Saccharomyces cerevisiae S288C: one gene and its partners. Changing the gene in region 3 together with the main gene of any one other region gives a genetic interaction. Each region holds a gene or a part of one and is shown on either strand. Other genes may lie near its edges.

Evidence for each region.
Region 1: mutations in YNL095C (region 3) and NCE102 together harm fitness more than expected from each alone (negative genetic interaction), as found in Saccharomyces cerevisiae (2 studies listed by BioGRID).
Region 2: mutations in YNL095C (region 3) and EMP24 together harm fitness more than expected from each alone (negative genetic interaction), as found in Saccharomyces cerevisiae (2 studies listed by BioGRID).

The regions. Positions count from the first base shown.
Region 1 is NC_001148.4:828,236-831,049, forward strand, and holds NCE102 (Nce102p), read left to right. Parts: upstream 1-1,682; coding exon 1,683-2,204; downstream 2,205-2,814. UniProt on the Saccharomyces cerevisiae protein: Involved in membrane organization. Required for the formation of membrane compartments of CAN1 (MCCs), localization of CAN1 at the MCCs and subsequent invagination of the plasma membrane at the MCCs sites.
Region 2 is NC_001139.9:122,095-125,304, forward strand, and holds EMP24 (Emp24p), read right to left. Parts: upstream 1,212-3,210; coding exon 600-1,211; downstream 1-599. Other genes in the region: YIP4 (Yip4p), read left to right, coding at 1,497-2,204; MDS3 (Mds3p), read left to right, coding at 2,604-3,210. UniProt on the Saccharomyces cerevisiae protein: Constituent of COPII-coated endoplasmic reticulum-derived transport vesicles. Required for efficient transport of a subset of secretory proteins to the Golgi.
Region 3 is NC_001146.8:444,401-448,916, forward strand, and holds YNL095C (uncharacterized protein), read right to left. Parts: upstream 2,441-4,516; coding exon 512-2,440; downstream 1-511. Other genes in the region: phosphatidate phosphatase APP1, read left to right, coding at 3,211-4,516.

The DNA of each region.
Region 1 (2,814 bases), on a different chromosome or scaffold from region 3:
AATGAAAACCAAAACTGGGATATGCGTGTCGAGTGCTAAAAAAAGCCAACTAGCGATTTAAGAGTGAGAAGTAATCCTCGTTAAAAGCGATGCAGAGCCAACTAACTAAACTGCTAACCTCGCTTTCTTTACACAAGTAGTACTCAAGAAGTTTCATAAAATGCCCAGTTACACACTCGTGAAATGCACTTCAAGGTGGTGTTACAATTTTCACGAACTGCAACAATTGAGTATATTTATTAAAGCAGGAATATGTTTGCCCAATCAAACGTAATTTCATATATGAACATATATGAAGTTGCACACATCAGCGGGAAAGATGTCTCTACCGCTCGAGGAGCCACACGTTTGATTTGCAATCCATGAAATAGAACTGCTAATCCCATATACAATTAACTATATCAATTTCCTGAACAAAGAGATTACAATCAACGGCAAAGCCGCCTGCCTCTCCGGAGATCTCCTTTTTTCTTCTTTCTTTTGTCCTATGTTGCATAGTTGCTCATGTCTTTTCCTTAGGCGGACAATTAAGAGCAGCCACAATATTTCCAAAACTAAATTGCTAAAAAAGCGTAGCAAAAAATTCTCGTCATTCCCACTTTCCCTACCTTAACCCTTGATGTTAACGCCGTTTCGCTCATCGGAACAAACTATACAGATAATTAAGCTTTTCGGCAGCGGTGAGAAAGGAAGCAGCCAGGAGGAATACGCGGCTTTCTCGCGGAGCCCGATTGCCGATACAAAGGAACTGTTGCCTCCTCCCGGCTATTTCCATAGGCCTTCATTCAGCATACTGTTGTGTAGTTGCATCACATCCTTGTTGAATGAATTCCAACTATTTCGATAAACCATCCCATGAAGGAGAATGCAATGCGGCTTTTGTTTGTAAACGGGCTTGAGAGGTTCTATGCGGTTAATTCTGTCACTAGGGGTCCGAATCTCGGATTAAGTATAAAATATGTATTACCCTGATGATTGACCGGATGATGTAAGGATGCATGTCCCTACTGTTTTGGTATTTCCACATACGGACGGGGCCCCGAAACACCACCCCCATTTTAACGGCCGCATCTGAGCATCGGCCCATTTGGCACACGCCCGTTAGTGACGTTGGTAGGGGCATTTCCCTGAGGTAGGCCCAAGGTTGCTTTAAAAGGTCCATCGCAAACCCCTTGTCCGCGGACCTCTGCGTCATAATTAAAATGCCCAAAACATAAAAGTGATCGCCCCCTCACAGAAACTTATGGGCAGCTTGCTGCCTTAACGGAATTGACTAGAATTGGTTTGATTTTTTTTTCTTCCTACTTCTTCTTCCATTTCCCTCCCCTCTTCCTCATATATGTATACAGAAAAATCATACCCCTATAAATTCCTTGGCCCCAATCTTCTGTCAGATTTTCCTTTATAAAAGAGTCTTTGTTTTGTAATTAAAAGATACTTTTTTCTTTCTTCTTCTACGTCTCCTTTTTTTTTTTTAAGAAAATTTAACTTATACCACTATTTTGTTCGCAATTGATCAAGAAAAAATACAATTGAAAAGGTTTTACATTTTTAATTTTTCTGCTCATCGCGCTTTTTTAAAAGGATAAATAAACATTTCTTTAAAAAACATCTTCAATAAGAAAAATCGGTTAAAAAAACTTTTCTTCTCAAAGCATACCTAATAACAATATAATCCCATAATGCTAGCCCTAGCTGATAACATTCTACGTATAATAAATTTCCTATTTTTGGTTATTTCCATCGGTTTAATCAGTTCGTTGTTAAACACCCAACATAGGCACAGCTCCAGAGTAAACTACTGTATGTTTGCTTGTGCATATGGTATATTCACCGATTCATTGTACGGTGTCTTTGCCAACTTCATTGAACCATTGGCATGGCCACTAGTTTTGTTCACACTGGACTTTTTGAACTTTGTGTTCACTTTCACTGCCGGTACAGTGTTGGCCGTTGGTATCAGAGCTCACTCATGTAACAACAGCTCATACGTTGACAGTAACAAGATTACTCAAGGTTCCGGTACCAGATGTAGACAAGCTCAAGCCGCTGTTGCATTCCTCTACTTCTCTTGTGCCATCTTTTTGGCTAAGACCCTGATGTCTGTTTTCAACATGATCTCCAATGGTGCCTTTGGTTCTGGTTCTTTCTCCAAGAGAAGAAGAACTGGCCAAGTCGGTGTTCCAACCATTTCCCAAGTCTAATTGAAGCGCACCAACTTAAATTTTACGCCACTTTCAATTAAGAATATAATAAATGGACACCGTGAATAAATTAGGGAAAAAAGAAAGCAAATAAGAAAACTCCGTTTTCCCTCATCCCTTTCCGTCTTTCGGAAGAAACAAAAAATTATACCCAAGGAAAACCCGAAAAAAATGAAAAAAATACCAGAAAAAAAATAACAAATCATATGCACTTCTTCATTAACGATTATGAAGAAGTCTTATTTCTAACTAATATTATTATTATTATTATTATTATTATCATTCACCCCGCTTTCTTTTATTATAATTTGTTCTTCTAATATTTTAATTTTTAATCTTTTCATACTATTCTTATATCTAACTAAAGTATCCTTCTCTTTGTCTAGTTTTACTTCACTACATACCTGTTGCGTTGATTTGAGTTTTTTGTATGTAAGTTCTGTTTATCCTTTTTCATCCTACCGTTCCGCGCACGGCGTGACGTGGATCCCTAATGTGAGTTCAAATCGGTTACAAAAATTAATAGTTTTGTTTCCTATTATTATTATTATTATTATGTATGAGGAATCGTGCTATAAAATCATTTTCCATATGTATATGCCAAATATTT
Region 2 (3,210 bases), on a different chromosome or scaffold from region 3:
CTTACACCGTATATAGTAATATATTGCTAATATGAGCACTAGTTGATTCTTGTTCCAACAGTATATTCCAAACATGTGTTAATCACGCGTTGATACAATGTGGCTCGGCTACAAATCAGTTATTAACATCGTGAGCTATGTTTCCCTGAAATGGGGACGTTTTCCAACGAATTAGCCTTGTTGGCGCAATCGGTAGCGCGTATGACTCTTAATCATAAGGTTAGGGGTTCGAGCCCCCTACAGGGCTATTCTTTTTTTGTTCTATATGAACAGAGCTATTTCCCTTCTAAGAGTCCCACATAAAAGTGCTCTGGGGAAAAACGGACCACAGCATGTCCTGTGGTACTTGTTTCTTTCAAGTTTTTCGTATGTATTTCCCATTTTTTGATTCGCTACAACCTGTATTTGTTTTATGGCGCGCCTGGACCATATATATGTATATATTTATTTACATGTAATTGGCACAGGGAAAAACAGTGGAAGGATCAAGGTAAAAAGTATGAAACCGAGAATTATTCGCGACTTCAGGTTATCCAATCGTGTATGTAATCGTATGTAGGCAAAAGTAAATAGATATGAACTACATTTTCCTGCTTTACTTAGACTAGAGATGTGACCTCAAAGAATCTTCTCAAGTAGTATATCTGGAAAAGAGAGTTTGCAATAACGACGCCCAATTGGAAGATGGACCACCATTTAACACGATCGTTGGTCGACTCTGCAGTATTTCTATGCGTCCTTTCTCTAATAACAATATAACTTTGTTCGTCCTTGACTTCCCTGGTTAATTTGGACAACTTTCTGACAGCACTATCCAATGTATTGGTGTTTGGGTCGTCCAAATCCACATATACCACCCCATGAATGTTGAAAGTCACGTCTTTTGTCTCGATACCGGTGTTCTCGTTCAAGAAACAGTATTGGAAATGTCCCTTGTATGGAGCAGACAATGTGATTTCACCGTGCGACGTGTCCCTAACCGTTTTCAAAACTTCATGTCTTTCCGGCCCGTAGATGATAAAGTCACCAGTCAGCTGGCTACTGGATTGAGGGTTTCTATCACCGAACTGGAACGAAATGGAGAGCTCGTCACCCTTACTCAAGTCTTCGAAGAAGCATCTACGGCCATAAGCTGGAAGAAGGACATTATGGGCGGACGCCGAGAAGAACAGGAAGCAAGCAATGACAAACTTAGTAGCAAATGAGGCCATCCTTATGCGTGTGTATTTTTGTGCGGAGGGATACTATTAAGATTGCAGTTTCACCAAGTATAGCTTTTTATTTCATTATAAGTTTCGTGTCAAAATGTTTAAGCGACCCGATCTCTCAGGCTGTTTTGCACGACTTTTCTGACTTTCCTCGCGTCTTTTTTCATGAAAATTGGATTACCCGGAGTGATGATTTTCTCACAGTGATTTTTCGTCCCCTTTTACAATAGCAAATGAAGCTGTTTTAGCAATATTTGTAGAAAGATATGTCACAAGAGGGCAGGCAAAATGTCATACGGAAGAGAAGACACTACGATTGAGCCCGACTTCATAGAACCAGATGCACCTTTGGCTGCTTCCGGGGGTGTTGCTGACAACATAGGCGGAACTATGCAGAATTCAGGCAGCAGAGGGACGCTCGACGAGACTGTGCTGCAAACACTAAAGCGAGATGTGGTGGAGATTAATTCCAGACTGAAACAAGTGGTATACCCGCATTTCCCCTCATTCTTTAGCCCCTCTGATGACGGGATAGGGGCGGCTGATAACGACATTTCAGCCAATTGCGACCTGTGGGCGCCCCTTGCGTTTATCATATTGTATTCTCTATTTGTATCGCATGCGCGGTCGCTGTTCTCGAGCCTATTTGTGTCTAGTTGGTTCATTTTGCTGGTGATGGCATTGCATCTGAGACTCACCAAGCCACACCAGAGGGTGTCGCTGATTTCGTACATCTCCATTTCCGGGTATTGCTTATTCCCACAAGTGCTGAATGCCTTAGTCTCGCAGATACTACTTCCATTGGCCTACCATATTGGAAAGCAAAATCGCTGGATTGTGAGGGTCCTGTCGCTCGTGAAACTGGTGGTCATGGCGCTGTGCCTGATGTGGTCTGTGGCCGCCGTTTCGTGGGTTACCAAGAGCAAGACCATTATCGAGATATACCCTCTGGCACTCTGTCTTTTTGGCATGGCCTGGTTGTCAACTATTTTATAACACTAGTTACATATGTATAAAACCCAATATCATGGACATAGAATTGCCTATCTCGCGAGCCACGGCAGAAAGTTCTGAAAAAAAAAAAAAAGAGGACGCTCACAGGGGCTGGCGTGTGGCTAAGGCAGACTCCGTGGAGTGTAAGAGAAGTTCAAAGCAAGATTAGGCTTTCTGATGAATTGGTAGCGCAGAGTCTGGCAAAGTCTATTTCAAGTTCACAGCGTCCGTTTACCACAATTGTTTGAGAACTCTTCTCCTTCCTGTGCCTATAGCCACACTTGCAAACATTACATGGTGAAGGCGCTTTAGAGACTTTTCTGTTTTACTATATATATAAGATAACATAGCGCGCGTGCAAACCAAAGGACAAGTAACAATCTGCACCTGCTTTAGCGTAGTATGCCTTTATTACAACCATCCACTTGCTTCTGCTACCCTTTGAAGCTTCCGCCATTACCACTGACTTCCGATTCCAACGAGTTTGATGAATGCGCCAGGAAAAGGTTAACGCTGGACTATAGAACAGGTTCAGCGGTGACGCTAACAAGGTCTAATATATTTGTACATGGTGGTCTAACCATCCCGTTGAACCTGCCAGTTGTAAATTCTATGCAATTACAAAAGGAGCTTATTCTCTTTTTTGCAAAGGAAAAAAACAACGGTAGTTCTTTTAGGAATTTAAACGAGTGGATAAGTAAGGAGACGTTTTTCTTAGACTTGATGTCTAGAACCTGGTACAGAGTCAAGACCTCCTTTGACCAAAGGACAGAGGAATTATTAAAGGCAGAGAGTTCTAGCGCCAAAGCAGATAATGACACAAACGAGATTAGAACGGACATTAAGAAAGGTAAATCCCTTGAATCTCCGCTCAAGGAGAGGCTATTCCATTCCTTATGTTATTTAGATGGCTGTTTATATATATTTGGTGGTCTCACAGTGTCTCCTCAGAGCGGATATGAGTTGATTGCTACCAATGAGTTGTGGAAACTGGATTTAAACACGAAGA
Region 3 (4,516 bases):
ATCAATAGCATTTGGTATTTCCCCCTCCGCGTATTATGAACGCCTAGTGAGCCCATTCTTCCCTAAAGCCAGGCTGGAAACCCAAACTGTGTGGAACGTGACTGAATTGCATTTGGTGAGTTACCAAGCAAAGGCTCGCAGGCTTGAACCACATTTTACCAGGGCGCTCGCTTTTTCCGAAATATTGAAATTAAGCAAAACAATAATGTACGGATTTAAAGAGGTACGGATGGAGACCGTAGAAAATTGACTTTTTTTTTTTTTTTGTTATTTTCTGTGCCTTTCGTAACTACTACTATGCAGAATGACAGGTAGTTGTTGTTTCGAATTGCTACTTTCACGCATTCAACTTGATCAACATTTCTCTCTGATGAAAGGTTGTGGAAAGTTTGGTCGTGTCTATAAGTAGGTGTTTTTTATTAGTTCTATATAAAAATGGAGAATGTTAATTTTAACCCACCCTAAAACAGTGATTAGGAGTGGTAATAATTTTTTGTTTAATGGATTAAAACTAAAGGTTCATCTGTACTTTCAGAAAGTAAGACACTAAAAATGGCAAGCTAACAACCATTAGCGGGTATTGCAGCATTAAGAAAAATGAAACACACTCCATTTGGATTGGCGCAGTTGTTTCTGGCGGCGTAAAACTGGCGGTGAAATATATAAGGGTAGTCATCGTTGGCAAGTTCCAGCTGATTGCTATAACAAATAGTAGCATTCTATCATCTTGCCAATTAACCCATCCAGCTTTCACTAACCGATCACACCATAGGACACCAAAAATTGGCATGACACATTGTCTCAAAATGACGAGTGTCACAGCGGCTTTCCAAAATCCAGGATAAAGGTTGCCAATCTTTAATCTTCCTAAAGTTGCTCCTAATAATATCAACCCAAATGGAACACATGCGGCACCGACATAACCTGTAAAATCCATGAAAAAGCTTAATGGTGGTGCATTGTCAGGAGCTTGGCTTATGTGAGGAGTATTAGCGGTAGTCACGAACAAAGCCTTGACCCATGGGATAAATGCAACAGTTAGGGCGATGATCACGGCCATAGAGCACGGTCTCAAACAATTCTTTAGGAAAAACACAAGTAATGGAGTTAATGAAAATTTTCTCATCCACTGTGGTAATGATTCGCCGGATGTTTCAATATCCTTTTTACTTACAGTGGCATCTGATGTTAAGATCCTGGTTAGGTTAGCAGTTTTTATAGTCTGTAAAGTGGAATTTGAGCTAATTGAATGCACATCATTCATATCAGCGCCGCGTAAACTGGAATTCCTCCTTTGATGACCATACTGGTCAACGTTGGAGTACTCTCTGATAAGATGGTGTATATTTTGAGAAGGTAATGCACGCATATCAATGGAGCGGATAGGTTCCAATGCCGCCATAGACATATTTTTTGGGCATTTTTCATCTAAACAGTTCTCTTCTAGGAGTGTGGTAGTATTGTAAGCTCTCGGCTGGCTCGCGGTTCTACGTGCTCTCATAGTATCTATGCTACTCTCATAACTCTCTGACGTATTATAAGAATGTATTGTTGAAGCAGATGATTGGCTATCTAATGGATTTGAACCACGAGTTGCCTGTGACTCTTCGCTTTGAGTGCACGCAATAGTATTTCTTGCCTTCACCTGAACTGGTTTTGTAATCTTTGAATTCGAAGAAGTGTCTGGTAGTGACAGGGGAGCTATACTATTTGTTGATCTCCTTGAAATTGGTGGTACGTCTGCGTTTTCACCCTTTGTACCTATAGCTTCAGTGAGACTATCGCGAGCGGTGTACTTATTGTTGAAAAGCTGTTGTTCGTTTGAGAAGAAACGCTCGCTAGTATCTGTATTAGTTGTGTTTGCACTTACTGCGGGCTGTGTCTTTGTCGTTTCTGAAACCCTAACGGCGCTTTCATCGTCGTTGTACTCGAAATCGCTTTCAATCAGTCGAAACCCCCCCAAATTGAAAATGCAAATTAGAAACATTGTCAGAAATATAATGACGTTAGCCACACCTTTGTTACCTTCTTCTTCCGAAAATACAAGCCCTTGGTCCATAGATTGTAAATATGCAATTGGTAAATCACTTATATTTGGAAACATACCACCGGCAAGAATACCACCGTACCATTGTTTAGGAACAGGCAGGAATAGCCTAACAACGTATGCAAAAAAGAACCCAGAACCAAATATTAGGAGGGCAGACAGACAGATAATTCCCACAGATTTGATGTCTTTATCTTCAATATTAGCGACAATCTTGTTGAATGACAGAGAGGGTAGTAAAACTGTTAGCACGATATCAGAAATAATTCTTGTTGCTTCAACCGTAAGAATTCCCATTTTAGCCATCAGAAAGCCGACTCCTATAATCAAATAAATCTTGATTATCGGCTTAACTGACACCCATATCGCTTGACCCAGAGTAATGTGCACCATCTGATGAAAATTTGAGGTTTCAATCCCTTTCTCTGTTTGATTCTATAACTTCTCCAAAAAAATTGCGCTGACGCTAATTAGTCACTGTTTATATCTTTTTTAGCGATGATTTGTAACAATATGCCATAAAAGCGTTCTCTAACTGCGGAAGTGATGAGAATTGAATAGTTTTATTCAGAAGGCAATATATCCTAATATGGCACAAAAAGGCAACTTGTATGCACAAAATGAGCATAAGAGTTCAGGCAGAACGTTGTGCTCTTGATCCAAAGGTTAAAAGTCATCGAGTAGGAAGATATTGTAACCTTCGCGCAAACCGCAGCCGCAGCGGGTCACGTGGTCGCGCAAATGATGATGAGGGCGCGGTCTAACTTTCCAAACGAGGTTACCAACAATTCTCGGACAGATAAAGCATTAGAATAGGGTGGCAACGCCTTTACGGTTAGCTTGTTCATTGTGATTGGTTTGTGTATCTTTTCTTGGCTTTTTATGCCCACGAGACATAAAGTATACGAAGCTGTTATACTATTCGTGATCCAGGGCAAAAATTTAGCATCATTAAGGCATATATATCGCAAATAGTGGGTTGCACAAGGCTTTCAATAAACAGTGTCATATGTTTCTCTAGCTCTGTCGGTTTGTTGGCTATAAAGAGTTTGTCTAGTAATCGCCGTCTTTTCTTGGGACCATTAACACAGACAAGGACATTGAAACTTGGCTATAAGTTCCGTCAAAGGGGGAAAAAATTGCTTTGGAGAAGGAATAAAAAGATGAATAGTCAAGGTTACGATGAAAGCTCTTCCTCTACTGCTGCTACTAGCGGTCCTACTTCTGGAGACCCACGAATGGGTAAGAAACAACGGTTTATGAATCTCATAAGAACCACAAAGGATGTTTATATTCCTAACCTGACGTCATCCATTTCTCAAAAGACAATGGATGGCATCAGGAGCACTACGAATTCCTTCGAAGGTTATAATGACTTGCCTATGGAATTGCCACATAATACCACGATAACATATTTTCCAACGTATACCACAACTAATTTGGTTGACCCTGACGGTTTGAGTGCGCCTCGGAAAGATTTTGAAACTACTGTCAGATGTGCTGTTTCTTATCCAGGAAATCCTACAAGCAGGAGAAATAGGTGGTTGCTTTCTCTTTGTAAACAATATCTTAGAACTGGAACGGCGGAGGCCGATGTTGCACCTGTTGTTCCCCCTCATCTCGAAGAGGATTCTGGAGATTTAAACGACTCCCAATCAAGTATAGAAAGTTCTTTGTCTTCAAAGAGCGAAAATAGGTATTCACATATGGGCATCCAAGAGGAAGATGTTCTGAATGAGAGAATTCAAGGATTCCTGTCCAAAAAAGTTCCTAATACTCCAGTGGTGGTTGACCTATTGCCCAAAGATAAGCTCAGAGGGGATACGGCTTCCTTTTTTGGTACCACGGACTCTTATGGTAATTTACTAATCAAGGCAGAAACAGATTTTTTACCGTCCAAGATTAATATTACATTAGATACCCCTATAGAAGGCCATGCAGATCCCATATCTGAAACATTTCCGGCCAATTATGTCTCGCCCTACGGTATTGGTTTAATCAGTGATATTGACGACACCATCAAGCATACTGGCGTTACGGGTGACAGGAGATCGATGTTTCGTAATGTTTTCATCCATGATGTTCAATCGTGGGTAATAGATGGTGTTCCTCTTTGGTACAAAACTTTACATGATGTCGCAGACGTTGATTTCTTTTATGTTTCTAATTCACCCATCCAAACTTTTACTCTTTTGAAACAATATATTTGCGCCAATTTTCCTCCGGGTCCAATTTTTTTGAAACAATACTCTGGTAATTTCTTTTCCACTATCATGACTTCAAGTGCGAATAGAAAAATTCAGCCGATTGCAAATATCTTAAAGGATTTTCCCAAAAAAAAATTTATTTTGGTCGGTGATTCTGGTGAACATGACTTAGAAGCGTATACCACTACGGCTTTACAATTTCCGAACCAGATTCTGGCTATTTATATAAGATGTTGCTCTAATTCCATGAGTGATGTCCCAT